Nothobranchius furzeri: one gene and its partners. The protein of the gene in region 3 purifies or fractionates together with the protein of the main gene of each other region. This does not show direct contact. Links are inferred from orthologs where the notes say so. Each region holds a gene or a part of one and is shown on either strand. Other genes may lie near its edges. The genes, in order: cbx3a, ehmt1b, histone-lysine N-methyltransferase SUV39H1 and setdb1b.

Region 1 (7,953 bases), on a different chromosome or scaffold from region 3:
CTGGTTCTCGACCGGGAAAGGGTGGCTTGCCAACTCCGGGTCGGGAGAGGTTCTACCTCAAGTGGAGGAGTTTAAGAATCTCGGGGTCTTATTCACGAGTGAGGGTAGGAGGGATTTGGAGATCAACAGGCGGATTGGTTCGGCGTCTGCAGTGATGCGGACGCTGAGCCGGTTTGTCATGGTGAAGAGGGAGCTGAGCCAGAAAGCCAGTCTCTCGATTTACCGGTTGATCTACGTCCCAGTCCTCATCTATGGTCATGAGCTTTGGGTAATGACCGAAAGAACGAGATCGCGGATACAAGCGGCCGAAATGAGTTTCCTCTGTAGGGTGGCCGGGCTCAGCCTTAGAGATAGGGTGAGGAGCTCGGACATTTGGGAGGGACTCGGAGTAGAACCGCTGCTCCTCCGGATCGAAAGGAGTCAGTTGAGGTGGTTTGGGCATCTGGTCAGGATGCCTCCTGGACGCCTCCCTGGGGAGGTGTTTCGGGCATGTCCTGCCGGCAGGAGGCCCCCGGGTTGACCCAGGACACGTTGGAGAGGTTACATCTCCAATCTGGTCCGGGAACGCCTTGGGGTCCTGCCGGAGGAGCTGGTGGAGGTGGCTGGGGAGAGGACAGTCTGGAACTCCCTAGTTGGGATGCTGTCCCCGCGACCCGGATGAGCGGAGGAAGACGACAATGATGATATATGTATGTATATATATATATATACACACACACACACACACACAACCTCATTAGAATTTAAAATGGTAATTAATAAAGTTGTTTTATGGGAGGATCACAATAATCACTTTTGTGAATCGCCTGCACCAACGGCTTAATTGCTTATTCACAAGGATGCAGTCATGTATTTAATTGAGATATGCGATTGTTTGTTTTGCACTATCCTACATGGTACTACTGTAGATCATTTTTTTAATGTATATATTGTATATCATATTTCTGTTTCACCTGTTCCTTTGTCTCCGACTGCTTTGAGCATGTACATGACACAAGAATTTCCCTCGGGATAAATAAAGTTGTTCTTATCTTATCCTGAGCCAAGCATGAGGGTTTATGTGGAATCTTATAGAGAACACTAGTTAAAAGGGGATCTTTACATCCAGCGTCAGCACAGAAAATATTGATCATTTTAACACAGAAGTTTTTGTTGTTAGTCAAATCAAAGAAACTTTAATTTTCTGATCTCAGCTTGTACAAGACGTCAGCCATTAATGATAAATTCCTGTAAACAACATGCTGCAGCCTGGACCCCAGATACAAACAAGTGAAAGTCATCTTACCTAAGCAAAGTTTATTTCTGTCCAGCCCAGGAGCCCATCTGAACACAAGTGGTGTGATGAGATTTTAAGTAAATCAGCTAATAACTGCTCCTTTACGCTGACGTCTCCTATCTTGTGTTACTTTATCAGTAGGTAAAGGCCAGAGGGGTGAAACTGGATGTTGTTTAGTCAGAAACGTCAATGCAACTTTATCCCCCATTCGTTCAATAAAAACCACCAATATAGACACCTGAATTCAGATTTGAATTACCAATCACCACACGGTTGGACATAAATATGAAGTTTTAGGTTACGTCACCATCCATGAGTCTACTACAGGTGATAAAGCCAAGTCTTCGATCTCTACCTTTTTAGTGTGAGCATCATTAGGTGAGATGCAATGATCAAATGACAGGTAAAACTATGGTTGGACTGATTTTAGTCTCCTTTAAATGTTTCCATTCATCAACACTTCCTGCCAGCTGTTCCAGGCTTTTTTGGAAGTTTAACATCTCCGACAGGCAAATAGCTGTTAACATGTGACCAGTTACTTTTAAAATAAACTCCATAATGTGTCTTTACAAGTGGTTATAGAAGAAACCAACCATTATCCATTACTGAGAACCAGCAGACTGAAGCCTCATTTACACCAAGTGCAGAACAGAATGAGCAGCTGATAGAGCTCCAGACAGGTGTGGACATTCATGGTCCTCCTTGGATAAATATCTCACCACTGTTCCTCTAAGGAGATCAGAATGCTGCTGCCAAAATAACATTCTGATGTAGGCCAAGGATTGATACCCTGACAGAACCACTCAGCTGGCTGTGACACTTTTAATAAAGCAACATTTAGGTTTTCTTTTTTCTGTATGCATTTGTCCTAAACTACAAATGAAGAGGGTAAAACTAGGCCACATAAAACCTTTATTTGAACTTTATATTTACAAACTGTAAACAAAGCGTTCATTTCAAACACGTCGGCACTTGCATCAAGGAACAAAACATTTAACTGAACTCAAAAAGGTTGACATAGACTCAAGTAAAAAAAATAAACAAATTGGAATGTGGACTGACATTATCGCTTTTTGACTAATCTTATATCCAACCCAGTCACCTGCTTTGACAAACTTTTAATCTACAATACCCCAACTGCCATACAAATGATTTTGTCTCAAATCAGCTAAAGTAGCTAAAGAAGAAAAAAAAAAGCAGAACAGAGAACACAATAAAAACCTAAAACATAAAGGTGTGCAGAATCCAGGCAAAGGCTACTGAGCCTCATCCTCTGGACAGGAATGCCACGTCAGCCGCTCCTCATAGAAGGATATGACCACCTGAGGGCAGCGCGTGTTGGCCTCACGAGCAGGGACCAAGTCTGCTTCATCTGACTCTTTCCTGGGGGACAAAAAAATAAATAAAAACTAAAATAAAACAGCAGATCTTAGAAAAGCCTATTTAAAAATCAAAGAAATAAATTATATATATTCAAGTGATTTTATTTCTAAATACTCTACATGTTTGTAATAAACCTTTTCCGCTTTTAGTTCGACTCCCTAAAAAAACACTAATGGCCATGCAAAGCAACCGAGGTAAATGTGAAACTACTCTTGTTGAAATTGGGTGTAAAGTCTGCCTAACTCACCACTTCATCAAGAACATCAGCTCCCCGCTGCTGTCTGTGGCACCAATGATTCGCTCTGGCTCCAGGTTCCTGGCAAAGCCGCGAGGCTTATCAGGCTGTCAAATAAAAACAAAAACAGGTTATAAACCATATTCTGATTGCACAACCTACAGGGAATCATGCTAGCAGGTCAGAGACATAAAAAACGTATAATCTAACCACATCTTTCTTCTTGGGTTCCTCTTCTGCATCATCTGTGGAGGCCTTCCTCTTCACTGCAGCCGGCTTCTCCTTTATATTCTTCTGGGAATCCAGAAAGGCCTGAATGAGCTCGGGGCAGTCCAGGTTATCCTCGGGTTCCCAGGTGTTGTCCGCTCTGAGGGAGCAAAAAAAAAAAAAAAAAAAACAGGTTAGCGTTCAAACCAAAAACATCCCAAACGTGTTAAAAGGGAAAAGCTGGGAGGCTTCATGCAGCCACGGTGCGTTAGAGGCGGAGAGAGCAGGACATTGTCCCGGGTAACTCACTCTGTGAAGCCTTTCCACTTCAGGTAGAACTCTACTTTCCCGTTGACGATCCGCTGGTCCAACACTTTCTCCACAACAAATTCTTCAGGCTCCTCCTGGGTCTCGGTCTCCTTCTTAGGCTTTGTATTCTGTTTCTTGCCCATTTTGCTTTTTAAAGATAAAAAGACGAGCCGCATTTATTCGGAAGGCCTTAAATCCACCCGGATGCTAGGCTACAAATAACTCAGCCAACGCTAACATAGGACATTACTCTAATTTGGCCCACCTGCTAGTTAGCTCAGCATTTAGCAGCTAAACGTAACAAAGGTTGCTAACACGCTGACCCCTTACCTAAAATTTCCTTGATTTTAAACAGTCTCATCTGCGGATTTTATTTGAGCAACAGAATTAGTAGAATTGTAAAAGATAAAATAAAAACTGTGGTAAAACTACAACACATCCCCACAAAACAACACCTTACTTGCCTTACTTTCAGCTAGCTTAACATATTACAGTAATAGCTAAACAATGGCGATGCTAACGCTGCTGGGTCAACAACTAAACTGCTGTTTGTCAAAAAACCAGCAACGTATAGGTGGCGTTTTAACACGCTCAGAGTAGCCTGATGTAATTAAAGAAATACTCAACATTGTTTTAAAAGAGAAGAACTCCGCACACTCACCCAAAGCGCGCGGATTTCTATAGTTGTTCAGCACCACGCCGCTCGGATGAAGTCGATCCCACAACGAAGGCGGCGCCAAAAACTAGTTGTGGCTACGGAAGCCCAGAAGGAAAAGCGATTCGTCTGCAGCCGAGCTGACCCATGTGTTCCAGAAGGGCCCTTTTCATGAACCAAGGCTTCAAGCCGCTAGTTAACGCAATCTGAGACACGTTGGTAGTAAATGAAAACGTTTATATATGTTTTAAACTATAAAGTAGTGGAAGGAATAAAGCATAAACACTAGCAATCATTTTCTTTTTCAGATTGTTCAAAAATGAAAAATTTAACAAATTGACCCCAAAGTCATAATGCTAATGCTGAATTCAGATTAAATTGAGCACCTGATGTCTCAAGTTGTTTAGATTGTTCTCAGACTGAGTGAAACAATTTCTTTTACTTTCTACTGAATACCGTAAATGACTGGCTTGTGATTTTGAACGAGTATTTGTTAAATATGCTTTACAGCCATATTTTAATAAATCTGTCTGCCTTCTGTCCTGAAATGATGCCGGTCAACACAGGTGTTCAGCTCAGGTGAGGAAAATAATGTTGATATGCTCACCAGCACGCAGCACCATAACAGTAATGGTATATATAACCTGTTAGCCAGACAAAACAAGACATTATTTAAATGTTTTTAATAAAGAAATCAAGTATTCTTCAATCAGATTTATCTTTTCAATAATCACCGCAAACAGACAGACAAATGTGACTCATGCATGAAAAAACAAGATGTATGAAAGTGAAATGCACACAAATAAACGTTTAAACCAGGACAAAGAGAAAACATGATCTTTGGATCACAATTAAGTTTATACACTCCCTAGTGCAGGGGAGTCCAATCCTGGTCCTGGAGAGCCAGTAACCAGCAGGTTTTGTGGTTTTTCTGCTTCAAAATGCTTGATTAGCTGGTTGAATCACCTGTGCAGCAGCTCATCAGGCTCTGCAGAAGCCTGTTAATCACCTGCTGATTGAAATCAGGTGTGCTGAAGCAGGTTAAAACGAAAAACGTGCTGGATAACGGCCCTCGAGGACCAGGATTGGACACCCCTGCCCTAGTGTAATCAAACACTCAGCCTGTCATATTGCATTCTCTAATAATCCCAAACATATAAACAGACAACAATCATTCTTGTTTGTGTAGCGAGTGGATAACATATTTTGCATGACAGGGGATTTCTTCTGTTCTAAAGTTATTTTTAGGTGAGGTTGTGCTTTAGTAGATGTGAGGGGATTCATGTCAGATCAGCTGACTTAAGTAAAGCACAAAAGGGTCAGCAGATGAGTAAAGTTTGCCTTTTTGTGCCATTTAGAAGCATCTTTATGGGAAAAGTGAGAAATTATGTTTTCCAGAATGGGTCTTTGTAACATAGATACAACCTTATGTATCATTTTGGGTGTATTTTAGGAGTAAAGAGATTATAAAACAATTATAAACAAGAAAAAAACTGATTAGAATACCTCACACAATCTCACTGAGAAAGAAAATCCATTTTAGATGAAACTGGAGCCAAAAATCACAGAAAGTCATCCCTGTAAACTGGAAATCAAACAAAAGAAGTTGCGTGAGACCGTTTTAGAATTGTTCTATTTAACTCAGCAAACCTTACAGAAGCACGCTGCATATAAAACAACATTCAACAAAGCTGGGACCACCGCTTTGGTTCATTTTTAGCTGAACATCATCAAAAACTGATTTCTGAGCATAGCATGCTGAAACTCGAACTATGAAGGATTTAAGTCAAAACCATCTATTTGTTATTAAAATCTGCATCAATAGTGTCTTAAAGCATTCGTGTGTGGATTATTTTCGAACCAAATACAACGTTACAAAATAAAGCCTCTTCATTGTAATCATTGGTATTTGGCATGTCACCCCTGGCAACTATGAGAAAGACAAATCTTTATTATTTTTTCCAGTTTTAGCCTAAATAAATAACATTACACACAGTTACCTTAAACGCCCCTGTAAACATTAGATTTACTTAAATTTTACTTTTCCATTTTGAAAAAAAAAGAGAAGGAAACAGTCTTCGTCAAAATGAAAACACTTCAAAAACCTTTCAAACCAGAATAAATATAATCTTCAACTTCCTAGTTCTCCTCAAAAGACTTAAAAAGGCAAATTTACACACAAAACCCCTCGGACCCATACCCAGTAAAGGTGATAGTTTTACGTTATCAGGCCCGGCCCAGAGAGGGGCTGGTTCTGCTGCCAGCTTTAATAAACACAAAGTCCAGTGTGCCCACTACTAATGTCTCAATATTTACAGATATTCTATCGAATTATTCATTTGTGTTCAGAGTGTTGTTTTGTTTTTGCAGCTTCTGATAGTGAAGGCTTATGGCAGTGGTGAATAAACACGCACGCACACACACACGCACGCACGCACGCACACACACACACGCACGCACGCACACACACGCACGCACGCACGCACGCACGCACACACACACACACACACACACACACCACCTACAAAAAAAGAACCCCAAACCCAGAGTCAGTCAAGTTCGGGAATATCAAAAAAAGCCTCTAAAAGCTCAAGTCTCAGCAGGAAACGAAACATCACTGCTTCTTCCCTTTTTTCCTCTTGTTTGTTTTGTTGCCTGCTGATGTGGAGACGGCTGGACGTCTGATGGGCTGAACCACAAACCTCCCGTTAGCGCCACACTGCAGGGTAAATCTGTCTGGGCTCAGGGGCTGTCCTGACCCATCCCTGAGCCGAGCCAGAACATCTCTGGTCAACTGCTTTATCTGTTGGCCCACAGCCCCCATGGTCTTAGCTGTAAGCTGTTTCTCTCTCAGCAGTCGTTCCCTCCGAGCCTGCAACATGTCCACCTCCTCCTGAAGACCGGTGATGGCATCTAATTTCCTTTTGCGGCAGTTCTGAGCTGCCAGTTTGTTCTTCCCCCGCCGGCGGATGTCCCTCAGCAGAGTCACCTGCTCAGGGGAGAGTCCGTGGCTGTCCAGAACCTCCATGAACTCCTCCACAGGCATGTTGACAATCTGCAGGACAGAGAACGGGATGCACAGGGCACGGGCTCGCAGCTCATCACGACTCAGATCCCGCTCTTCGTCGTCGCCAAAAGGCTCTGTTTTGTGGGGCAGTTTTAAAGACGCCTTGTTGAGGAAAGCAGGAGACGAGTAGCTGTGATCGTGCCACACGTTCTCACTCAGATCCACAGGCGACCGCATGGTGGCGTGGTTCATTACACCCTTTGGGGGTAACGGATGCACCTCACTGCTGTAGCCTGTAGCTCCACCTTCGTCCTCGCAGTACGAGCTGCTTGATGAAGACATCTCAGATGAGCCTGAAGGAACGAGACGTAAACGACAGCGTTCATCACAAACATTCTGACAACAGGAATATGATGCGGTGGTCTGAGCTAACCTGGAGACACTGGACCTCCATAGCTGCTTTCTAGGGACAGCCCAGAGTCTGAGTCCAAGTCCTCGAGGCCACGAGAGTCCATGCAGCTCAGAGTGTCCATCAGCTGATTGTCGATGGCTTCCAGGCTTTCTAAGCCAAGCTGATTGATCTGATCAAACACGGCCTCATCAAGACAGCTGCCCAGCGAACTCTGGGACATCATAGTTCCAGTTAGATTACACACAGAGGCAAACGGGAGCGCCGCGAGGCCCACAGCCATGCCGGGTGATGCATCTGAGAGCGAGGAGTCTGAGGATTCCCGCCGTAGCAAGGTTCTTCTCTGCTGGGTGACTATCCTGGTCTCAGCTGTTCCAGATCCCACACCAAACGTTCCACCAGCGGTTACCATGGCATCATGCAAACTGACATCCTGGCTGATGGCGTTGGTGATGTCTGCATCAAGCTCAGA
Region 2 (8,264 bases), on a different chromosome or scaffold from region 3:
TATTAGAGTTTGCTAATGTGCCATCACCAACGTTCCCCACAGGGATGGGTCAAATGTGTCCTTTGACCGTCTTCACTCGCTCACACCACACTTCCTAGTCCTCACACAGATTAATAAAAATAGCTGATCTATGAGCTAAACGTTGCAGGGTACTACTGTACACACTCCCCGCTGCATGCGATAGATTATGGGAGTTTATTGTATATCTGTCTTTTTTTATTTATTGATATTAGCTCCTTTGTTTCCAAGACGAAGCTGAATTTTATTCGACTCCCACGGGAGAACTGTCTCTATTTTTTTTTATCTCAGGAATTCTAAAAACAAAGTTTAAAAGCCACTGTTAATGTTCAAAAAATGTGTAAAATTCTAATTAACCCTTTGATGCATGAATTATGAAATCTTCAACCATGATTTTTTTAACAATTTTTTTCATTCATTTTTAGGTGTGAATGAAACAAATTTCAACAAATATTTTTTGTAAAATTTTATAATTTACAAATAATTTATTACGTGTCCACCTCAGTGGACAGCGTGCATTCAGAACATGAAATATGTTGGCTTGGCTTACTGAAGTTCAAATGGAGGGGCTCAAATGCAATAAAGTCTTCAACAGCTGTGCTTAATAGCAAAAACAAATACATAACAATTTTGAGTACCTGTCCACTGTAGTGACCATTATGCATCAAAGGGTTAAAGATTGTGTCAAAGTGCTTCTACTAGTTTATAAATCACCCAATGGCATGGGGGCCAAAATACATGCTGGATCTCCTTACAACATATACACCCAGCAGGGCTCTGAGGTCCTTAAGAAACCGTCAGCTGGTAGAACCTCGGGCCAGAACCAAACTGGGTGAAGTTGCTTTTAGCTACCAAGCTGCACACAGATGGAATCAGCTTCCTCATGACCTCAAATGTTCCCAATTATACTAACTTTTAAATTAAAATAGAAAACTTTCATGTATTCATCAGCCTTCGAATGAACATTTCTTATGTTGAACCTTCTGCACTGTAACTGCTCACCTATTAACTTCGCCTTTTATCTGATTCTTAAATCTGAATATAATTTGCAAATTAAATTTGACCTAAATCTGTGTTTTTTATTATGCTGTTACATTGATTTTGCTGTTCTAGCTCCTGGAAAGCACATTGAATTGCCTCCATGTATGAAATGTGCTATACAAATAAAGCTGCCTTGAATAATTCAGACCTCAATTTCAATCAAAATAATGATGATCACCACTTCTGCCATAATCAAACGGCCCTAATATATTTTGTTATGTATTGTATTTAGGGTAATATGATAAATCTTTAATATTTGGCAGTCCAAAAAATGACCATGGCTGATGTATTTGCACAGGAGATATTTAGACGGTTTGTGGGCTTGACACACTACACGCAGCACTCCACCAGTCACAATCTTTCCTACTCAGGTAGCGGAAACACGGCACAAGGGTTCCATGTGACACGTTGTTTTTAGACTTTTACTGTTTTTGATCCAACTGTTAACTGGGTTGCAGTTTGTTCACGTTACACAACAATAATAAAAAATAAACTATTCTTTTATAGGACGCCTCTCATAATAAAAATCAGAAGGCGCTTCACAAGAACAAAATAAAAATTTTAAAAATTATTTTAAAAGTATAAAAAAAATGGAAGGATTCTATCCCTCTGTCACAACACCACTGGATCAGAGACGTTATGCAAAACGTTAAACCGGAAAAAAAATCAGATGTACCTTCAATGGCTCCATCGACAAGTTCCACGAAACATGGGACCCTTTAAGAGCTCGTGTTGATGACCTACCTGACCTGGACCTTTGACAACTCTCAACTGCCTCATGCCAGTCTTGTAACTAGTAATGTTGTGTGCCCTTTTTTATTCCTCCCTTTCTTAATTAATCTGAATTGTTTGGTCTGTCTTTGTTAATGTAAATATGTTTTTTTTTTTCAGTTTTGAAGGATGACAAGTCTTCATAACCAAAGTTGGTACCGTTAGTTTTATTGTGTGTGCGTTTTATCTCTGAGCTGGCTGATGGGTTAACATAGCAGCTAACTATGCTAGCCTCTTCAGGCTGTGCCAATATAATTCAATAATCTACAGAAAAATAAATCAATGAGCTGCCAGTTTTACCGCTGTGTAAATACTGATCCAACGCTGGAAATAATTAATCGATAGCTTACCAAAATAACTTCTCCTGACTGGCTGATGCTACATCCCGCTTGTTAGATCCTCCCGTTAATTTTGGCAATAATCCAGAAAGGCACGGACGTTCTACCGGTCTCAGGAGGATCTACTGTGGGAATATGTGGATCATCTTTTCGATCCGACTTCTGAGTGTCGTAGCTTTCTCAAATGTCCTATTTTTTAATTACTGGCACTAACACTGTCGGCCGTGCAGGAATCCAGAAGGACCAGTGGTGGTTCCAGATGAATTGATAGTTGCAATATGTAGATTATTATTTTAGATTAAACCCCTGAGCGAATAGCCGTGACCAGCTTCTGTAGTCTGTGCATCAATAATGGTCAGATCTGAAGAAAGCTAGTGTTTCTACATTCCTCCTCACAAACTGATTTAGGAATTTAATTTTGCTACGTTAGTTAAAAATGCATGTAGGACTCCGACTTATGGCTCGGACTTTTTGCTGCAGCTGGAAACCTTAATAATTGAGAGCACAAAGTTGAACTAAATACGGCTAATCGCTCAGTGTTGGCAGCATCAGCTGCCCTGTAAGACATGTTTGAGAGAGCAGGATAGGTCTAATGGGTATAAGGGGAGGTGGCATCCACGTAAAACACTTAAATATGGGTGAATGGTGGCGCAGTTGGTAGCACAGTTGCAGGTTCAAAAACTGGCTGCAGACTTTCTGAATGGCATTGGCATGTACTCCCCAGGGCCCTCATTTATCAAACGTATGTAGAACTGTCCTTTAACTTTTCCTAAGAAAAACATTTAGAATGTGTGTACAAACCTGACTAGGCGGTGGCCTCTCGTACGAATGTTCCTTCGCAACCGGCTGATGATAAATCCCACCTCTTGTTCACAGTAATTTACATACAGAAACGCCCTCAATTAACCATATTTGGTCACTCTACAGCCTCAGCACGTGAGGGAATTTGTTTTATTCCCAGAAAAATAAGAAAAACTTTATTGGCAGCAAGATCAAGACACTGGTTGCCAAAGCGCAGAAGAACCAAATAAGTTGCAGAGGTTATAAATGCGGTCAGGACAGAGAAGAGGTTCCTATCAGAAATAAATAAATTAATTAATTTGAGCTGGGCAATAAAATCGAAAATATATCGTTATCAAAATGTCTGACTTTATAGAGATAATTTTTCCCATGTCAAAAAATTTGATAATAAATGAAAAGATGTGTGTAGGTTGGCAACATTCATGTTGGATTGTTGGCATAAGACTTGTGGTCTTAATATTTTGCGAGTATTTTACTGGACCCCTGTTTAGATTTAACAAGACCATTCTTGACGTGGGATAGCTCTGATATAGGGCTGTGCAATAAATCGAAAATTCATCTTTATCAAAATGTCTGACTTTTATCGAGAATTTTTCCCATGTCAATAAATTTGATAATAAAAATGAAAAGATGTGTAGGTTGGCAACATTCATGTCCCTTTAAGAAGCTCTACCACCTTGAGTCACGTAAAAATGTGACTTAACGTAATACACGTGACAGCCCCATCATCTAGCCTGGCCTGCCAGACTCCTCCTCTGTTCAATTCTGCATAGAGAAAGGGTCTGGGAACTCTCCTATTCAAATAACCCCAACCCGTGCCAATTCTAACCGAGCCAATCAGCGCTGAGCGGCGTAAGTCACACACCACAACGACACGTTTGTCATAAACATGGCAACTGAAGCAAAATGAGGGCCCAGGCATGAATGGATTTTCTCCAGGTACTCCAGTTATCTCCCACTGGCCAGAAATATGCATTTTATGCATGCAAGCTGCATATTAGTGAAATTCTGACCCCAAAAAACAACATGTTGATCTACATCAACAGCCTGCTGGATAGCTAAAATTTCCCCTTTTATAGAAATGCAACACGGAGCCACACAAAACCACTCAGAGGGATGCAGTTTGAACATGCCTGCCCAGAGATTCCTGCTTGATTTGTGACTAATATTCTCCAGTTTCATTTTTGCCATGTTGAGTCCAATTCTTGGGGACAAGAAGGGCCATCGAAAACTCACTACACCTTTCAAGTGGCCCTCCATTGTAGTAAAACATTATCTGCACACAGAGATGATACTGTACTAATGTCTGGTGTGTCACTGTTTCCATTCAGGGATGAAACGTGTTTAAATGACAACACGTTGACCCAAAATGAAAGATGCTGGAGCTGCAAAGCTCCGTGAGTCACTTCTAACGCTGCTGGAGCGACCTCTGCTGAACACTTCACATCTTCACCTACATTATTTAATTTTGTGGTTAAAAATAATATAAAAATGTAGTCAACTACGGAGCATCAGTGTGCCCTCGTGTAGAAATAGGGTCAGTTAAACGATATTTGATGACAGATCTTTCCTTTTCCATCTAATCCAGAACCTGAACCAGCCTACACTAGAGTTGCTAACTCTGGACAAAAATAATAATAGGACAATAACCGCATTTAGCCCAAACACGCGAGCGTGTGGCGAGGACGACTGAAGAGAAGTTTAACGTAAAGAAGTAGAGAATAACAACCGGTTTCAGAACTGGCGCCTTCATTAGTCGGTTAGCAGGCAGACTGCAGAGCAGCACACACAAGATAACACCGCAAACGCGCGTTTGACCCACTGTAACACAAATTTAACAATAACTCGATTTGCTAGAATTCAACTGGATAAAAAGAAAATCCCTCCACCGTGTGTGTGTTTAAAACGTATGCATTCTGCTAACTACTGCTAGCATAGCCGCTACCTAGCTGAACAACGTTCACATTTTGCCTCCAGTTAGCCGCTAACAACCGGGTCAGCTGAAAACTCAGAATAATGCTGGGAGGGAATGCAACCTTTAATTTCTGCAACACGTTTCGAGCAGCTAAAGCTGGACACAGCTAGGAGAATGACATAAAGATGTACCATGAATGAAAGAGTCCCACAGAGAAGCAACCAACGCACAAGCACCGAACATTCAGGTTCCGGGGCGCAGCATCTTCCTGCACATTCAGTTGTCCTCCGGTACAGCACAAAAGCACAAGTCTCGGCGCTGGCAGCGGCCACTCGGCGCCTGAAAAGCACCTCGACACCGACAATTTACCCGCTTACAGACCGGCCCCGTGGCTGCGCGAGCCTAACGAATGTACCGAAGCGCCGAAAAGCGTGTGAGACGGGAAGAAGCTTGGCGAAGATAAAGCTCTCATACTCACCTCGGTCTCCACCGAAGCCATGGTGCCTGGACGTTGGCTCCGCCCACTCCCGGTTGCGTCACTTTTATTGATCCGCAATCTGGAACACCACACCTTAGAGATTTTATTTGTTATAAATGAGCATCTTTATTGATCATGGTTGTGGTGACAACCTTTTAAGATAGCTAACCCAACTATTTCTGTAAATACGGAAAAAGATTAGGGCCAGTGAAAAGAAAAAAAGAGAAAGAGGATTCTGTCTTTTTTTCTCAGAATTCTAACTTTAAAAATCCTTAGGAAAAAGGTCACAATTTTTAAAGTGAAATTTTTAGTAAGAGTTCTCATTCTTTTCTTTTTCTTTTTTCTTTTCTTTTTAGTGGCCGGGGTAAAAATCGGGTGTAAAAATCCACGGGAAAAAGGTCTAAATAGTCATTGAATTTCTGTCCTTCAAATAAAATTTCATGTATTTATTGACACGTTATTCCTCAAAAATAATAAATTGAGTTGGGTCGATTCTCACTACTCACTACTCTGCTTAAAAAGCTGAACAGGTTTTCTAAAATGTCTTCATGTAGTGAATTACCTGTTGATTTGTGTTGATTATACCCTATTCCAAATAACCATTTTTCTATACATTTTTGTTTACATGAATGTAAGAATTTGCAGGTTAAAAAATTGTTAAAAATCAAATATCAGTAAGCCCTTCCTTTTTAATTATGATGGTTGTCCTTTTTTATGCTTATCTAATGCTGATCATCCACATTCAGGCAAGAAGAAGAGTGACATGTGCACGTGATGTTGCTTTAATGTTATTATACTCTTATGATGTAAAACTGTTGTGTGTTGTATACTGAAGTTGTGCTCATGGGGTGTGGTGCTCAAGGATTGTAAATGTGTACATTAAGTTCAGGATAGGTAAAATAAGCTGTGCTACATTCCCATTTTGAACTGACTCAGTTTACGGAGTTACTTTGAGACAAATTAAAAGTCTTACATATCAATGCAATTTTTGTTTATTTTTATATTTTTACTATTTTTTTTACTTTAGTATGTTTGTTGCTTTAATTTTTTTCTCTGCACCTTTGTGAGTTCGATGTATGATTTAATTTTGCTCAAAATGACTAAAATTATATATAATAAATGTTGATCATTAGATGAAGAACAAGTGCAATAGAACGTATGTGTGAGAGGAGCACATTGTTTTAAAAAATGCATTTTCTACAGCGAGCAGTCGTTGTGTCCTTAGGCAAGGTACATACCCGCCTTGCCGGCTGGTGGTGGTCGGAGGCGCAGGTGGCGCCTGTGGACGGCAGCCTAGCAGTGTGCCCCAGGACAGCTGTGGCTACAACGTAGCTCACCACCACCACCAGTGATGAGGTGTATGGTGCCTGGTGTTTGGGCGTATGTTGAAGAAGAAGAAGATGAAACAATCTTTTACATAACACCTCTCAAGATAAAAATCACAGGGGCTTCACAAGAACAAAATAAAAATATTAAGAATAACAAGATTGAAAAATGATTTTTAAATATCATAAAACTGGGAGAAGTTTAAAAAATTGTGATTAGAAAAAAATGTGAAGAAAGGGAAAGTGAATAAGGAATAAATTATGCTCGGCAACAACTGACCGAAACCCAAGACCAGCTGACAGCAGCTCGGACAGAGATTTCAAAACTGTTAGATGACAAGAGTCAGCTGGAAGAGAAAATTACCATCAGGGGCCATTTTAGCCCTTCAGTTTGATTATATCTTTACGTAGTGCAGTGTGTTCTCCCATACGCAGTATAGGGTTCTATTAATTTTATTCTTTTTCGCACCACTTTTTGCATTACATGTAGAGAGTTTGCACCCATTTCGTTGCTTAGGTTCATTCACATAATTCCTACACATATTACTTGCAGGTACTCATAGTGCTAGGTTTATTTTTGTTTGTTAATTTGCATGAGACGCCATTTTGTTGTGTCTACATTGAAGTGCCCTGTGCTGTGCTCTCTCTCCTCTGCTGAGTTTGTCGATGATCCTGCTTCCTGGGGGTGGACCCGTGACTCGTCATCCGAATCTACTCCTCCTGATTGGTGCTCCGGCTCGTGGGACCTGGACATCCGTTTGTTCCGGCATGACTGCGGGGATACTTCGCTCGCTGGGACGACCTGCCTGCTGCTCTTTCCTGTGCTGGATTACGATAAGTGCAATTACAAAGATCAATATGCTGTTTGGAAGTATTCCAGACCCGTGGAGATATAAAGTTTGCTGCTGCTTCAAATTATTGCTTCCACGGAAATTTCTGATAATCTACTGACTTGTGTGCTTCCCGAGGAGTATGCGAGACTGTTCTTCGGTGTGGGGTTCGTACCTCACCGCTGTTGGCCTCTTCCTGTGGGATTGCACCCTGCTCTGTTGTCGGAGTCCTTCATGACTCTGGTTTGTTCAATGACCAGGTGGTCTCTGAATGGACCACCGTGCCCTTGAAAAGGGGGGTATGTAACGTGATGAAGGAGCTATTCCTCCAAGGTTATTTATCCTCTATCTACTGTTCCCTTTGACACAGCGCCAGAGTGCATGAAACAGCCTCAAGGTCATGCATATTGCTTCTAAACTGTTTACTTTCCAGCAATGAAGACAGAAGATGAAGAGACTCTTTTCTTTTATTAAATCAAAGAACTCTATTTTCAATAAAGCTAATCAAAACAACTGTTAGTCAATAATACAATGTGACCGATCTGTGAAATCACAATATTATGATTAATATGTTTTAATAAGTAAAATGACTTAATCTAGTTCACTAGACACACTGACACACGTAAGGAAAACAATCACATGACACATTGCTGTTGCTGATCCAATCAGAACCTTCCTAGTCTGAAGTGTGGCAGAGTCTCTGTGGTGTTTATAAATCTGCTGGCTTTGATTCGTCCAGAATCAAAA
Region 3 (7,486 bases):
GAACACTGTGCGACTTTTTCACTCGTAGTGCTCAGCTTCAGCTCAAACTGTATGACTTCCTCGCAGGGCAGATCTCACGAGTCATGCACTCACACTGTACGACCCAGTTCTCGGATGCGACATGACTGCTCACACTGTACGTCTGGTAGCAACACGTCGGACCCAAAAACATGCTAAAAATAGCAGTTTTTACACAACACGTCAGACTTTTTTGTCTTGTTTTGCCTGTTGTCCTTCTGGAGTGCTGCAGGAGGACACACAGGGATTTATGGGGGTTGGATGAGGAAAACGAAATAAAGAAAGTAAATCTGTGTTTTGTGATCAGTTTAATTTGACATGAACACGACAAACACGCTTTCTTGACAATCTTTGTGAGAAAAAACTCGCACTGTCGGAAAAGACGAGGACGCTGTTAAAAATGCTGATATGCCATGTTGTAAACAGTAATTTCTACTTCTACTATGGTGTAGTGTTGGATGCATGCTGTAGAGCTCCATGCTGCCCCCTATAGTTTGGGAGAATATTGGCTCACCGCAGAGACAAGCCGCATGAACCATAAACGCTGTGAGTTGTGAAGCGCGTTCCATCCGCGAGCCGCATCACCGCGCGGAAAGTGAACGCGTCAAGCATAAACCAAGCTTAACCTGTTGCTGGTCTCGTTTCATTTTATTGCACAGCTTTATTTCCGTTTATCCATGCTCAGCACTTTGTTAAACTCATTTTGTTAACTATCAAGTCTAAAATGCTCCAATGCAGTGGATTTTCCTAACCGCTTCATTTATAAGTACATTTTGTTATCATGTGATGAGCTAGCTCTTCCTCTGTGGTTTTGACAGTGGCACTCTTGCACCCTCTGGTGGCACAAAATATATCCATGACTGAAAGAAAAAAAACTATTTTACCTGGTTACAACATCAATGGCAAATAACTGGTTAACTATAAACATCCCTAACCTTTAACTTTGATTACATCACACATTTGCTGTGGCATTGTTTCAATAAGCTTCTGCAATGTCACAATATTTATTTCCATCCAGTGTTGTGTTAAGGGCCAGCAGTCCTCTCTTTCGTGTGTGTGCGTGAGTTAGCATATGCTTGGGATGGGATTGAGGGTGGGAGGAGGGGGATACAAAGGGGATCTCGTATGTGAATCTGGGAGAAGTGGAAAACCGACTGCTGTCTGTTTTTAATATTGTAAAGCGCTTTGAGCTGCATCTGTGTGAAAAGCGCTTCATGAATAAATTTGATTTGATTTAAAGTTTCACCAAGATTTTGCATTGATGACGGTAGAGTCTGACCACTGCACAACGCCTTCTCCAGCACGTACTAAATATTCTCAGTGGGGTTAAGGGCTGGACTCTGGTGGCCAGTCCATGTATGAAAATTATGTATCATGCTCCCCAAAACACTCTTTCACTATTTGAGCTTAATGAATCCTGTCATTGTCATCTATGAATTTGCCTGTACCAATTAGAAAAAAGTCTATTGATGGAATAACCTGCTCATTCATATTCAGGTATATTTAGTTAGGATTATTTTTAAAACGATTATTCTGACGATTATTTTATCGAATAGTCGACTATTCTAATGACTATTTAGACGATTAATCTAATGATTATTTTTCTATTGCACAATTAACAAAAACCAGAAAATCTCAAAGAAATTCCTCAAAAAAATTAATAAATTGTTACTGTAAGAGAATAAAAACTACAGGCCTTCCATTTTGTACAACACTTCTTTTATTGTGTTGCAGTTGGTTATGTTCTGGTGACGTGTAGAACTTGGGAGTGCAGGCTGCTGCCTGAGAGGTGGTAGAAGATGGAGTGTCTCCATGCTGCTTTGTTTTGGTCACTTATGAGCGTGAGGCGAGTGGTGTTACGACTCTTCCTGGAGAGTTTGGCTCGTGTGCAAAAGGAAGGGACAATAACGGGATTTAAAAGTTAAAATGATGATCAGGTTTATTTACAACTACAAAAAACATAAATCTTTCCATCCACAATTTGGGAATAATAAAACAAATTCTGCCCGTGGAGCATTAAAACAAAGTACAAATAAGTAGGGATGTCCCACTGGGCAAAGATTATTGGGTTCTGGACCAAAATAAGGATCTCCAAAGGTCCAAACTCTAAACTGGGCGGTTAAACCAAACTCACGGTGATATTTTACACTAAACTTAAAACGAACAACACTCTAAATGTAATAAAAGGGAGATCTGCACCACAAAAAAGATGAACTCTAAACCAAAACGTAACAGCTTATCCAAACGCAAGAAGCTGTTGGTGAAAATGCTAACAGTAGCTTTACCAACGTTAAGTTCAAGTTACCAAGTTTAAATAAACCAGAAACACCCAGCAGCAAACAGACCAGCACGGAGGAGAGACTGCTACCACCAAAACAGCTCTCCTCATGTCTGAAAGAAGCTCCTTAATGAAGGGAGAAACGCTCCCGGTGATTTTCTACATCTGCTTTAGAGACGGAGCAGCACATCTGACCCCGGAAGTTGTCCGTTGCCGGGAGACGAAGGCGGGCAAAACAGGAAAGGAATCTAGTAGCGGACGGACGTTGTTCCGGGTCTTCGGTATTTGGCGGAGATGTTAAAGGCAGAGACGAGGGCGAGCTAGAGGAAAAACTGGCAGATTCCTCCTCCATTTACAAACTCCTGGGGATGCAACAAGTGGGCGCGGTGCGTCGACTACCGGATCTGACGTCGACACATTTTTAGAATTGAGTCATAAATGTCATCGACGCTTCGCTACAGCTCTAATATTTAGGTAGTCCGCTTCTTTGAGCACATCCTGTTGCTGCACCTAGACCTGACCAACTGCAGCAACACCAAATCATAGCACTGCCCCCACAGGCTTGTACAGTAGGCATGATGGGTGCATCGCTTCATATGCCCTTCTTTTGATCCTCTGGAACAGGGTACATCTGGGCTCATCAGACTACACGACCTTCTTCCATTGCTCCAGAGTCCAATCTTTATGCTCCAAATCAATCTAAAGTTTTCTCCCCCAATTTGCTTCATTGATTAGTGGTTTTCTTACAGCTACACAGCTATTTAGTCCCAATCTCCTAAGTTCCCTTCATATTGTGCATGTGAAAATGCTCTTACTTTCACTATTAAACATAGCCCTGAGTTCTACTGTTGTATTTCTTTCAAATTATTTGACCTAGGCAACTGATTGCCAATCACATTCATTCAGTATTATTTTGGCCACATTTCTTCCTTGAAGACGATGAGTCCCCACTTTCAGTTTTTAATGTGTTGAACAGTCCTTAATGCAATTTTAGTTTTTTCTGCTATTTTCATTGATGTTTTCTCTGCTTGATGCATGCCAATGATTTGACCAGTGTAGTTTAACACTTGACTTCTTTTATCATCTTATCTTGTATGTCAGAGCTGCACAAGAATCTGAATTCTGTAAATTGAAATCTAATTGTTTTTACAAACTAAAGGTGTTGTCTTTTCAGGAGGAGCTCTATTTGGTGAAGTGGAAAGGCTTTCCTGAATCCGATAATAGCTGGGAACCCAAGAGGAACCTCAAATGTCCGGAACTGATGAAAGTGTTCCACCTGGACCTAGATCAGATGCTAAAACGGCAAAAGAGACGCGGCCTTCCCAAAAAGTTGGATAAGGAGGTTTCATTGTTCCTGGTTCAGAAAGCCAAACTACGCCAGAGACTGCAGAGATGGGAAGCCCATTTGAATCAGATTCGCAACCACCCAGGCCGTATTTTTGTCAAAAATGAAGTGGATTTAGAAGGTCCTCCTAAAACCTTTACTTACATTAACAACTACAAAGTTGGCCCAGGCATTGTGTTGGATGAGATGGCTGTGGGTTGTGAATGTAAGAATTGTTTCGAAGAGCCGGTGAATGGCTGCTGCCCTGGAGCCTCCTTGCATCGCATGGCCTACAATGACAAGGGTCAGGTCCGAATCCAGCCGGGAAAGCCCATATATGAATGTAATACCCAGTGCAACTGTGGGCAAGACTGTCCCAACAGAGTGGTGCAAAAGGGGATTCAGTTTGACTTATGCATCTTTAAGACGGACAACGGCCGTGGTTGGGGTGTCCGCACACTGCAGCACATCAAGAAGAACACATTTGTCATGGAGTACGTGGGAGAGGTAAGATCTAAACCAATCTTGTCAAAAATAAAATGTTAAAGTGCTGAACACTCATTTAATCAATTATTTTGCAGTAGTCTCTATAGTAGGAATAAATGCCTTGTAAGTAGGGTTGCAACAGTTGTAAACTTTGGTGGTACGGTTATAGTCCGAGAAATAATCGTGGTTTCACAATTACCACGACTATTTTACATGAATTGATTTCACATTTGTATTAACGTATATAAATCACAAACACATACCCTATAAAGTTTTAATAAATTGCATGATTACAGCCCATAAATCTATCTATTGCTCCTTTTCAGAGATTCTGCTTAGAAAAATTAATTTGTAAAATCAAAGTGATGTCTGTAATTTTTAAATTACAGTTTAAAAGTTAGAAAATTTGTTTAAAAGTGCTGAACACTTGTTTAATCAATACATTTGCAATGATCTTTAATAGGAATGAATAACTTATAGATAGTACTTTGAAAGAAAAAAACACACTAGTGCACCATTTTCAAGATTTTGAAGTGAGCCACATCCCAGCTAAGTTTCAGACAACACGATTTGGAGTCTTATTTCCTGATATTTGGACACCTCACATCGGACTGGATAATACGGATGTAAGAAACTATCGATGTGGCGTTATATCATGAATTTTTTTCTGCAATAATATATTGATATTCAAAAGCCGTATGTCAAATTTTTGGAAGAATTTACATGCAAACATTTCTGCAATTTCTTTTCTTTTGATGCAATTCATATGCCAACTGCTAATTGGCAGCAGTGTGCATTGGGCTTTGTTTGCATCATTAAAATGTAAATCCCTCTATTATGGTTCAGGTACTTCATGTTAAACATGTTAAGTATCAGTTAGGCCTGTATTGAATTTTCCTAAAATAAATTCAGTCTTAAAAAATCACTAACGTCTGACTGAATGTATAGCAATATATCATGATATAGTGTATTGTCTCCCCTGTATCGTGATACGTATCGTATCGCCATATTTTCACCAATATACATCCCTACTGGTTAACAGCAACACGACTACCACTGACTTGCACATTGATATTTTATCTCCACAAATAACACAAGCCTGGAAGAGTTCTGCTGTGTGGTGGAGTTGCTAATGCTAACGGTTAGCTTCTACTAGCAGAGATGTTCTCTGCGGTTTCCTGGCCACTAAACTAACAGCCTTCCCCGTCATGAATCGAGATGGATGAGTCCATGAATGTTAAGTGACAGTGTGACGTAGATCTGTAAGGATTTTCTAATCCCAGAGATTCACCATCTATTTTCTATCAGAAGCTAATGCAGGAGATAAGTGTAGGAGACCGTTTTCATGTTCAGCCTGCATGAAATGAATGACAGATTATATTCAGAAATCATCTTTAAAAATAGTTTTCCACACCTTTAATTATATTTGCATAATTGCCGCTTAGAGTTTCTATAAAAAGACAAAAAGGTTTACCTGTTGACAACTGGTCAGGGTTAACAATGAAGTATGGAAACACCTTCATAAAATAAGATGCTAAATTCCATCTAGTGCAGTTGTTATGTCTTGGTAAAGAAAAGCTGCTCACTAACACATGTAGACAGATTTCAGAACAGTATTTGAGAGTCGTGGGTATTTTGTGTATGAAGACAAATTTTCAGATGTTTGAGCTCAGCTCGTGAAAAATTGGGAACAAAAACAAAAGTGTTGCGTTTATATTTTTGTTCACTGTATGCAAGAGATAGGTAGGGGCACGATCCATATTTTTTCACCTTCTATCCAATTCCGATACCTGAATTTAGATATCTGCTGATACCAATTTTATTCTGATACAACAGTTCTATTTTCTTAAATATAATTATTATTTTAATCATTATGGTTGATTTTATGAGGCTATAATAAACTCTTCTCTACAATCATTCCAATTCTCGCGCTGCTCTGGGTGGCTGCATGTTGGAGTAGCTGTGTTAACTACTAGGGGTGTTTCAAACAGGGTACTTTTCGATTCGATTTTGATTATGGGAGCTTCGATTCTTCGATTATAATGATTTTTGGTTTGATTCGATTACTGGTGCCACGATTCTTCAATTATTGACATTTTTATTGCTTTTTTCATAAAAGATTGTCTTCTTCTTTATCTACATTTGTAAATAAATAACCTATCAATTAATTCAGTTCCTCTAAAACCACTCTCTGTAAATAAATACATTTTTTTAACATTTAACTATTTTTCAAAGACAAATTCTTATTTTATGACTTTGTGACGTGTAAATATTTGCACTTTGACCAACTTAACTTCAATCAGGGAAAGCTTTACTTACACTAGTGTCCTCTCCATTGTTGGGAAACACTGAAAACAGGCAAGCCCTGGATTTAATGAGGTAATTAATTCAAGTAAACAAGATTTTTACTTCCATCAAATTTATTTAATGGAAACTTAATGAGTCTGGCACATGATAACATTACAAAAAAGCTGCCATACAGATTAAATAGATAAATTCACCTTATTCAGTCTGGAATATAGGAAACAGAAAAAAACTGCTATATTTGAAGGTAAAATGTTGCATTTTTTCAGAACAAAAGTGCATAATTCAACTGAACATATATTCAGCCTGGAGCTTCAGTACAGTGAGGCGAACACAACAAAATAGAGCAGAGTGAGCAGAGTGACACATACTCATTTGTCCTCCCATACTCCCTCCCCTCCCTCTTGTCCCCCTACATCCTGTTGTGTGAGATGGGCAAATGTCAACATTGTGCTACTTTGACTCTCACTCATCTCTTGAGTTTGAAGAAGGTGACACACTAACTTCCACCTGTTCTTGTCCGACAAGAGAACAAAATGCGCCGTTACAGTAACGAAGGATTTGGTGGCAGCCGATGTCCGTCTGTCAGTATCTGCAAGCTTGGATCTGTATTGGGCATGCTTGAATAAATGAAATCTCAGCCTCATAAACTATGAGCAATTGGCCTTTTTACACAATAGGAATACGGAGTTGTTTTTGTGGTGATTTTGTTTCTTTTTCTTATTTATTTTTGTCCTGATTGTGCCCTGTGCAATTTTATGACAGAATAAATAAAATAAACGGATAAATAAAATTACATTAATTTTAAGATCGTCTTAAATTATCAAGATCTCAGTTTCAGTCAAAATAATTGTGATTATCATTTTTGCCATAATCGAGCAGCCCTACTTGAAATGCCTTCTTCCACCTTCACAATATTGAGTGTTTTAACCCAATTCACACCACACCACACAAGTCAAAAGCCTCTGGGTCATTCTCAACAACACCCTCTAATTTGCACCTCATATTTGTAATGTCACCCGAAATGCCTTCTTCCACCTTCGCAACTTTTCCCGAATTTGTTCATCATTGTCCTA
Region 4 (8,276 bases), on a different chromosome or scaffold from region 3:
ATGACGACTTTAGTCGTCATTGGCAGTGCACGGTTGGATCTAAAATCACGACTTTAGTCGTCAATGGCAGTGAATGAGTTGAGGGTTAAAAACGTAATAATGTCAAGAATTGTAGCTAAAATCAAATAAATCACTTCTGGGACAAGGAATCGAACCACGGTCAGGACATGGTAAAGCAGTAAAAGGTAAGATGCTTTCTTCATTAGACCTACAAACACAATGACTGCCTGAGACACTGTCTTGTGGTCATGACGTGCATCTTGTTGGCCATTACACGTGTCCTTGTGGACTGAACCAAGGAAGAACCTCTGACTATACTTCCTGAAACTCCAGGAAGTGACAAAAACCTGCCGATTTCCCCTCATCCACTGGGGTTGGGTACGAAACAGAGCAAACTCTCATTGTTAGAAATGCTAAATTCACAATAGAAATAAACATGTTTACAGCTTGGCACAAAAACAATTTTAGGTTTAGTAGGTGAAGTTATCAGTCAAATCAGTCTCTTTCTAGTCTCTGGACAGAACGCATGTTTTGTATGGGTGAAGTTTTGTCACCTTTGGCCTTCCATATATATACGCACCGCTAAAGCCTCCAGTGTGGATGTGAGACATGCACAGCGCTCACGTCACAAAGTGCTCATCCGTTTGAGCTACACATCGCGTCGCTACTGTACACAGAAGCTACAGCGCCACAGGTTGAGTTTTAAATTGACCTTATATGAGCGACAGGCGGGAACTGCGGCCCTCATGTGCTAAAAGCTTAAACTAAACTGGTTCTGTTACCATTTAGAGGACGTTTTACCGTCCTTATCCTCTCTTTCTGCAGTCTCAGTGAAGCTGGAAAAAAAATCTAAATATTTTTTGTCCTCTCGTGAATAATAATGAAGGACTGGGTTATCGTGCTTCCACCTTGTTGACCAAAACAATCCAGGAAATGTTTGCGTCTTGGTAAGCCGTACTGGAGGACAAAACAAATTAGGATTTTTTTTTCCAGTTTAGAGATGAAGAGGGTAACATATCCTCCAAATGGTTTGACAATTCTGGCTTTTGTCCACAGGAGGGCGTATATTCCCCCTTCTCGCTCATGTGTAACACAGCAACAGCCTGATCTCTATGTACTATGGTGCGGTATGGGGGCCAAAATCCGTGTCGAGTCTACGCATTTCAGGATTCTTCTGAGTTTGGAAAACTCCAAATCTCGCGAGAATCCATCTTGCAGCGAAAATCAGCTCATAATTTTGGACATTTGGAGTTGTGATGTGAGAGCCTGCGAAGCATAGGCCTTTCTAGACTGCTTTTGGGGATGCTGAAGCACTCCTAAAATTAAATCCCAGCACGGCAGCACCCCTAAAGTTTGAGATTTATTTTTGCACTTTTACTGTTTGGTCCTTTTCAATAGAAACTCCGCTAACTACTTCCAAACGTGTATTGTTGCCTCTAAAAAACTGGGAATTTGCGTCTTCCTTTGGCTAAATATAGAACAACACTGTTTTCATACATAATGAAGGGAATATGGTGAGTTGCTGCCCTCCAGTGTCTGAAAGCTGTTACTGCACTTGTATTCTTTTTAGCCTTTTAGAAGATAATGTTTTGGCCTCCTTATCTTAACGGGGCATTTAAAAAATCTTAATCTTTTTTCTCTCCTCTTGGGAATATTAATATTAAAGGGGGGGGGGGGGGTAGACGGAGTAGAAGGAACTGAATTTATAAAGTCAAAAAAGTTCCTTAGAAATATTTACTTCAACGATTCCAAAAACCGTGTTCTGTTGCCTTGAAAGAACTGGGAATTGGCGACCTCTCCTGGCAAAAAATAGAACACTTTTGTCCAACAGCATTTAGAATAGAAGGAAAGATGGGGAGGGGCTGCACAGGGTGAGTGCGCGTGTGTGTGCAAGATTGCTTGTCCTGTGTGTCTCTGTGTTGCCCTCGGTTGCCCTGCGATGGACTGGCTCTCTGTCCAGGGTGCACCCCCCGATTGCCCATTGACCGCTGGAGACAGCACCCCCCCCCCCCCCACACACACACACACACACACGCGCGCGCGGACAAGCGGGTTCAGAAAATGGATGTACGTGAAGATGGGGAGTTGCTGCCCTCCAGTGTATGAAAGCTGTAACTGCGCTTGTGTTCTTTGCCTTTTAGAAGAGAATATTTTAGCCTCCTTGGTTTGATGGAGCCTTAAAAAAACTTAATCCTTTTTTTTGTTCTCTTGGAAATTGTAGTATTGAAGAAGAGACCGAGGAGTAGAAGGAGAATAAGGAACTGGATTTCTAAAGTTGAAAGAGTTCCTTAATTGAAACACTTCCTCTGAAGTTCTTTTTGGTTCCTTGCAAGAACGGGAACTTTGCGCCCTCTGCTGGCAAATAAACATAGCTCCCTTGTTTTAAATTAAATAAATGGAACCTTAAAAAGGCCAGATAATATAAAATTAAGATATTTAGGTACTAAATTTTACCAGAACAAATGTGTGGTTTGTAATAAAACATGCCAGATATAAAACTATTAGTTATTAGTTCAAATAAATACCCAACTACAGCTAATTAACTCACACAGACGTAGATAGACACTGATTTATAAAAAAGGTCCATATTTTGTTTCAAACAGAATGAAAACTACTGTATTAGGATTTCACAATTAATGCATAAAATATTCAAAGAAAATAAAAAGAAATGCAATTAGTTACAGAACAAAAGAGTAAATGTTTGACCACAATAGCTGATTTAATTTGATAAACTTGTTTATTCGGTAAAATGAAAAAGTAAATCAAACAATTTGCAATATGTTATACTTGTATAACTTTTAAACTGCCCCACGTAAAACTATTCACATTCCTAAACATTAAAAAAAATCTGAAAACCAAACGAACTCGTCATTGTTTGGCTCGGTTCAATTATTAAGTCACAATAACATCCTGCGTGGGCGGGACTTTTTTTCCAATGCTGCGATCTACTACACCGCCCTTTTCGGACACCCCGGGAATCGAAACATCTTTTGTAGCTTACCCTTTAGCATTAGCGGAATAAGCTAGTTTTACATCTGCGTCCGAGATGATGGAGATCAGCGAGCGGTGGGTGGCTTTCCCGTTAATTAGAACATGTTTCATAGGTTACGAATGTTTTTGATGCAATTCTCTATTGTGCAATGAACATATTTGTTTCAGCAGCCTGCACCTCTCATTCAAATCAGAATTGTTCTTTTCCCATGCTAAGCTAACCGGTTAGCATGCGTCTCAACAAGGGTTTGTTGTTGCTGCACAAATCTAACGTGTAAAACGAAGACATTAGGGCTTTACATCACTCTCCGACAACAAATGAGCAACATTTTTATTATTTACTCAAGTTCAGCTCATAAGTTCATCTTTTTTGCAACAACTAAGTGGGAAAGTTGTGTTTACTCCTGATGTCCCTAGTGATCTACTATCTTATACATGTGTATTATTCAGATAAACTGGTATGCATCTGGAATTTCTTTTATGGATTCACTGCATCTTTAAAAAATCAGATTAACTTGAGTGTATTTTATCCTGTTTTTACCATAAAGGATGATGACCCGTATGCTAGACACGTCTATAACAGTAATGCGTTGTTATTTAGGGAGTGTGACTATTAGGTATTATTAATGTCTTTCACACAGAGTGAGGTTTAAAACTTGATCAAAATCACAAAAATGCTAATATATATATATATATATATATATATATATATATATATATATATATATATATAAAGAATATAACTCTTTTCGTTAAACTTAATTAATCACTACCAAGCTGTAAATAAATGTTATCATGCTTCATTCTGGCCATCTGTGGGAGTTTAAGCTGATGGTTGTAAAGCAGACGGTTGAGTTTGTTTTTAAAAATGTAGCGCTGTTTAAATGTGTTTCTCTGCATTCCCTCCTCAGAATGGAGGTGGACGGCTGGGACTCGAGTCTGGAGGACGATTTGGGTGTTTCCTTGGATGATCTGAAGAAGCTGGTTGAAGAAGCTGTGGAACAGAGTGAGATGGTGCAGAAGAAAAAAGCTCAGTTGAAAGAACTGAAGCAGTGGGTGGAACAGAAAGAGGAAGAGGAGGCAAAGACGGAGATGCTTCTCAAAGACACAAACCAGTGAGGTGGAATGGTTGTCTGTTTTATTAGTGCTTATCTATAACGAGCTCATCTTCTTGTCTCCTTTTTTTAGATCTTTAAAGAGGTGTGAGAAACTGGTAAAGGAGGCTTATCAGCTGAACGGTCTTGTCTACCGAGAGAGCAGCTCTGAGGATGAAGGGGGTGGAGATGGACTGTGCTCTGAAGTCATTGAGATAGATGATGATGACGATGACGATGTCATTGCAGTTGGATGTTGTAAGTTGTGCTGTTTTGTAAAAAGATATGAAAACACTGAGACTGTTGTTCATCTCTTTTTCTTCTGTTCTGCACCATCAGTGGTTCCTCCAACGAAATCTCCAGGCAAAGACTCAGTGGTGAGAGCAACAAAAACAGTGTTTCTGAAAATATATTCATATCTAATTACTATGTAATTACTACAGTGTTGTTTTTGTTAATGAGCATCAGGGACAAAAAGTGCTGTTGACACATAACAGGCAGCTTTAAAGGTGTGGAGAACTGAGAAATATTGTTTAACTCATTCGCTGCCAGCGTTTCTCACCGTTTTTACTGTTTTTTTTTAAGAGTGACAGAACGTTGCATGCTAGGATGATGTCGACGCCGAAACAACCAAAACAAAATGGAGACTCACCTTTTACATCAGGAAGAATCCGCGCGTTTCGAGCGTTATCCGTTCTTTCATAATCCGTTGTTGAAGTGTGATCGGCAGAAGCTTTTCCGGTTCGCGCCTCACTTTTTTTTACAGCAACGGCCCAAAACGATCTCCTAACACATGACGTTCTGCTTCCTGATCACGTGACCTGTGACGTACGCGGATGAAGATCGGCTGTTTGTTCTCACCGTGCGGGGGCTCGTCCGACACCCACACAGTAACAAAATGCAAATGACGACTTTAGTCCTCAATGGCAGTGAATGAGTTAATGATTATAATGGGTCATAGAAGAGCACGCTGGCATCGTCCAGAGGACATCAGGTGCTCCGACAGCCCATGGGACATCAAATGTAAAGGATAAAGTATACTTTATCCTCTAGGTTATAATGGGTCACTCAGAGTTCTTCATGCCGTCCGAACATGAAAACAGTCTCCTACACTTATCTCCTGCTTTAGTCTCTGATAGAAAATAGAAAATCCTGACAGATCTACGTCACACTGTCACTGAACATTCATGGACTCACCCATCTTGGCTCACAACGGGGAAGGCTGTTGTTGGTTTAGCGTCCAGGTAACAGCAGAGAACGTCTCGGCTAGTAGAAGCTAACTGTTAGCGTTAGATACTCCACCACACAGCAGGACTCCTCCAGGCTTGTGTTATTTGTGGAGATAAAACATCAACTATGCAGGGCAGAGTCAGCGGTAGAGCTGTGTTGCTGTTATCCAATCAGAGGAGAGATGTCTGAATATCAGGAAATAAGACTTCCAATCCTGTCGTCTGAAGCAACTCCAGATGACTCGTACTTCCTGGAACAGGTGCATCAGAGCTTTTTTTTCTCCAGAGTACAACTTAAAGGCATTAATTTCTACTAGAGACCACTGCAAATGTATTGATTCAACAAGTGAACCACAATCCTCGGTGAAAAATATTAAATGGGAAATCATTTCTTTAAATTCAGCCAAAACATAGTTATTTTTTTAGGTTACATAAAGAAAAAAAGGCCTGTATTTGATGTAAAACTCGTAATTCTCCTCAACAACCTCTTCTGTCGCCTGTTTTTATCACCAGTTAAAAGAAGCTTCTGCAGTTCTCCAGAAAACCTCCCAGCAGGTGCAGAAGTTGACCCAAATGGTGGGCAAACCTTCACCAGGAGCTCCTCAGTCACGTGAGCAAATATAAGAGTCTGTTTATTAATCGGACTCGTGTGAAGCGTTATTGATGCTCTTTGGTGGGAATTTCAGTCATCCAGGTTTCAGCACCGACAATATTTGTATCGCAAGCTTCGTCTCAAGGGACGACCCCGCCGAGCTCGAGCTTGAAAAAATTTGATCTCCGGATCGGGATGAACATCCTGGGAAAGAAACGCACCAAGACATGGCACAAAGGAACCCTCGTGGCTATCAACCCTATTGGTTCGTCGTCGTCTTCGTGTGTTTTACAAATGCTTTTTTTAAAGATGACGCTAAGGAATCAGTGTTTTTTCTTTTAAATCACACATTTTCTCCTTTAACGTTCAGGAAACGGTGTTTATAAATACAAAGTGAGGTTTGATAAAGGCAAGAGTTTGCTGTCCGGGAATCACGTGGCTTTTGACGACAACCCGGCTATGGAGGACCTGTTTGTCGGGGCTCGTGTCGTCGCCAGGTACAAAGACGGAAGCCTGACGTGGCTCTACGCGGGAATCGTGGCAGAGATGCCCAACAACAAAAACCGCATGAGGTAAGTCAATGAAAGCCTGCAGGTTTGGCAGCTTTCTGAAGGCCTGAGCTCATTAATGACCCGCTTTGCCGTTTCAGGTATTTGATTTTCTTCGACGACGGCTATGCTTCATATGTGATACTGCCTGAAGTCTACCCAGTGTGCAAACCGCGTAGGAGCCCATTTTTCTCCTTTCTTTCTTTTTTCATGGTTTCCAAAGGTGCAGCAACGTGTAGAGAAAATATTAATCAAGATAACTGATATTGTTTTATAGTGAAGCGTACTTGGGAAGACATAGAGGACGCGTCGTGTCGAGACTTCATCGAGGAGTACATTTCTGCCTACCCCAGCAGGCCGATGGTGCTCCTAAAGGTCGGCCAGATCATCAAGACCGAGTGGGAGGGGACTTGGTGGAAGAGCAAAGTGGAGGAAGTGGACGGCAGCTTGGTCAAAATTCTCTTTTTGGTACGTGAACAACAAATTTAAACCGGCTACATAAAATAATACAAAATGTTTGTTTAAAAGTCATTTTTTTTAGGTCAAAATTTTAATTACTATTGTAGTTTCACTCTAAAACATTCAAACCTGTGGAATAAAGCGCTGCACGTTTACCTGAGATACTACTGAGTACATACAGTCGGTATGGAAAGTATTCAATTCAATTCAAAGGTACTCCTGTTAATATTTGACTCTTTGTTATAATGCAGCCGTTTGCTGAAATAAAATAAATTAATTGTTTCCTCATTAATGTACACACAGCACCCCATATTGGCAGATTTATTAAAAAAGACAAGCTGAAATATCACATGGTCCTACGTATTCAGACCCTTTGCTGTGACACTCGTATATTTAACTGCTTCCATTTCTTCTGATCATCCTTGAGATGGTCCTACACCTTCATTGGAGTCCAGCTGTGTTTGATTCTACTGATTGGACCTGATTAGGAACTCCACACACCTGTCTCTAAAAGACCTCACAGCTCACAATGCGTGTCAGAGCCAATGAGAATCGTGAAGTCAGAGGAACTGCCTGAAGAGCTCAGAGACAGAATTGTGGCAAGGCACAGATCTGCCCATGGTTCCAAAAACATCTCTGCTGCACTTAAAGGCTCTAAGAGCACAGTGACCTCCTTAATCCTTAAACGAAGACTTTTGGGATGACCAGAACCCTCCCTAGAGCAGGCCGTCCAGCCAAACCGAGCTACTGGGGGAGAAGAGGTGACGCAGAACCTAAAGATCACTGTGGCTGAGATCCAGAGATGCAGACAGGAGATGGAGAAGGTTGTAGAAAGTCTACCATCACTGCAGCCCTCCACCAGTCAAGGCTTTATGGCAGAGTGGCTCGTCAGGAGCCTCTCCGCTGCGCAAGACACGTTTGCTGAAAGACATCCAAAGGACCTCGGGAATCAGAATCAGAAAAGCTTTATTGCCAGTGCTCCAGCGACCCGAAGCATAGGAATTTGACTCTGCAGCACAGCCTGACCAAGGTTACACACACACACATGTAGACAAAACAGATACAGGCAGACCACGAGAGCAGCCAGGAACGGCACTCATTTCATTTAGATGAAAAGGGGATTACATGAGGATAAATTGGGGGAGGGAAAAAAGGCATTCCAGAGTTACTCCCGACAGGGCGTGGCTTTGCTATGCAAAAAAACACCTCAAACATATAAGCACGAACATCAACAGTTCACAACATGAGACTCCAGTAGGAAGGCGGGGGCGGGGGGTGGGATCCTGTTTCCCCCAGCAAGAGCAGCCATCTAAGGCGCTCATCTACTGTACAGGTGGGAGGGAGATCTTGGGAGAAGCAAAGA

Evidence for each region.
Region 1: the proteins of histone-lysine N-methyltransferase SUV39H1 (region 3) and cbx3a purify together in Homo sapiens (affinity purification with mass spectrometry; 3 studies listed by BioGRID and IntAct, with this or other methods). This does not show direct contact. The link is inferred for Nothobranchius furzeri from reciprocal best matches to the Homo sapiens genes SUV39H1 and CBX3.
Region 2: the proteins of histone-lysine N-methyltransferase SUV39H1 (region 3) and ehmt1b purify together in Homo sapiens (co-immunoprecipitation; 3 studies listed by BioGRID and IntAct, with this or other methods). This does not show direct contact. The link is inferred for Nothobranchius furzeri from reciprocal best matches to the Homo sapiens genes SUV39H1 and EHMT1.
Region 4: the proteins of histone-lysine N-methyltransferase SUV39H1 (region 3) and setdb1b purify together in Homo sapiens (affinity purification with mass spectrometry; 3 studies listed by BioGRID and IntAct, counting the BioPlex papers as one, with this or other methods). This does not show direct contact. The link is inferred for Nothobranchius furzeri from reciprocal best matches to the Homo sapiens genes SUV39H1 and SETDB1.

Annotation. Positions count from the first base shown.
Region 1 is NC_091751.1:29,399,333-29,407,285, reverse strand, and holds cbx3a (chromobox protein homolog 3a), read right to left. Parts: upstream 4,221-7,953; 5' UTR 4,072-4,220; intron 4,059-4,071; exon of another isoform or gene 3,741-4,058; intron 3,558-3,740; 5' UTR 3,554-3,557; coding exon 3,411-3,553; intron 3,262-3,410; coding exon 3,105-3,261; intron 3,002-3,104; coding exon 2,907-3,001; intron 2,660-2,906; coding exon 2,533-2,659; 3' UTR 2,172-2,532; downstream 1-2,171. Other genes in the region: nfe2l3 (nuclear factor erythroid 2-related factor 3), read right to left, coding at 6,680-7,425, 7,506-7,953.
Region 2 is NC_091746.1:74,040,294-74,048,557, reverse strand, and holds the start of ehmt1b (histone-lysine N-methyltransferase EHMT1), read right to left. Parts: upstream 5,466-8,264; 5' UTR 5,384-5,465; coding exon 5,363-5,383; intron 5,357-5,362; exon of another isoform or gene 5,079-5,356; coding exon of another isoform or gene 5,076-5,078; intron 1-5,075. UniProt on the Homo sapiens protein: Histone methyltransferase that specifically mono- and dimethylates 'Lys-9' of histone H3 (H3K9me1 and H3K9me2, respectively) in euchromatin.
Region 3 is NC_091755.1:42,379,672-42,387,157, forward strand, and holds part of histone-lysine N-methyltransferase SUV39H1, read left to right. Parts: intron 1-3,470; coding exon 3,471-4,127; intron 4,128-7,486. UniProt on the Homo sapiens protein: Histone methyltransferase that specifically trimethylates 'Lys-9' of histone H3 using monomethylated H3 'Lys-9' as substrate. Also weakly methylates histone H1 (in vitro).
Region 4 is NC_091745.1:76,217,857-76,226,132, forward strand, and holds the start of setdb1b (histone-lysine N-methyltransferase SETDB1-B), read left to right. Parts: upstream 1-2,945; 5' UTR 2,946-3,046; coding exon 3,047-3,066; intron 3,067-3,902; coding exon 3,903-4,106; intron 4,107-4,179; coding exon 4,180-4,343; intron 4,344-4,424; coding exon 4,425-4,462; intron 4,463-5,827; coding exon 5,828-5,924; intron 5,925-6,000; coding exon 6,001-6,171; intron 6,172-6,276; coding exon 6,277-6,478; intron 6,479-6,555; coding exon 6,556-6,629; intron 6,630-6,731; coding exon 6,732-6,922; intron 6,923-8,276. UniProt on the Homo sapiens protein: Histone methyltransferase that specifically trimethylates 'Lys-9' of histone H3. H3 'Lys-9' trimethylation represents a specific tag for epigenetic transcriptional repression by recruiting HP1 (CBX1, CBX3 and/or CBX5) proteins to methylated histones.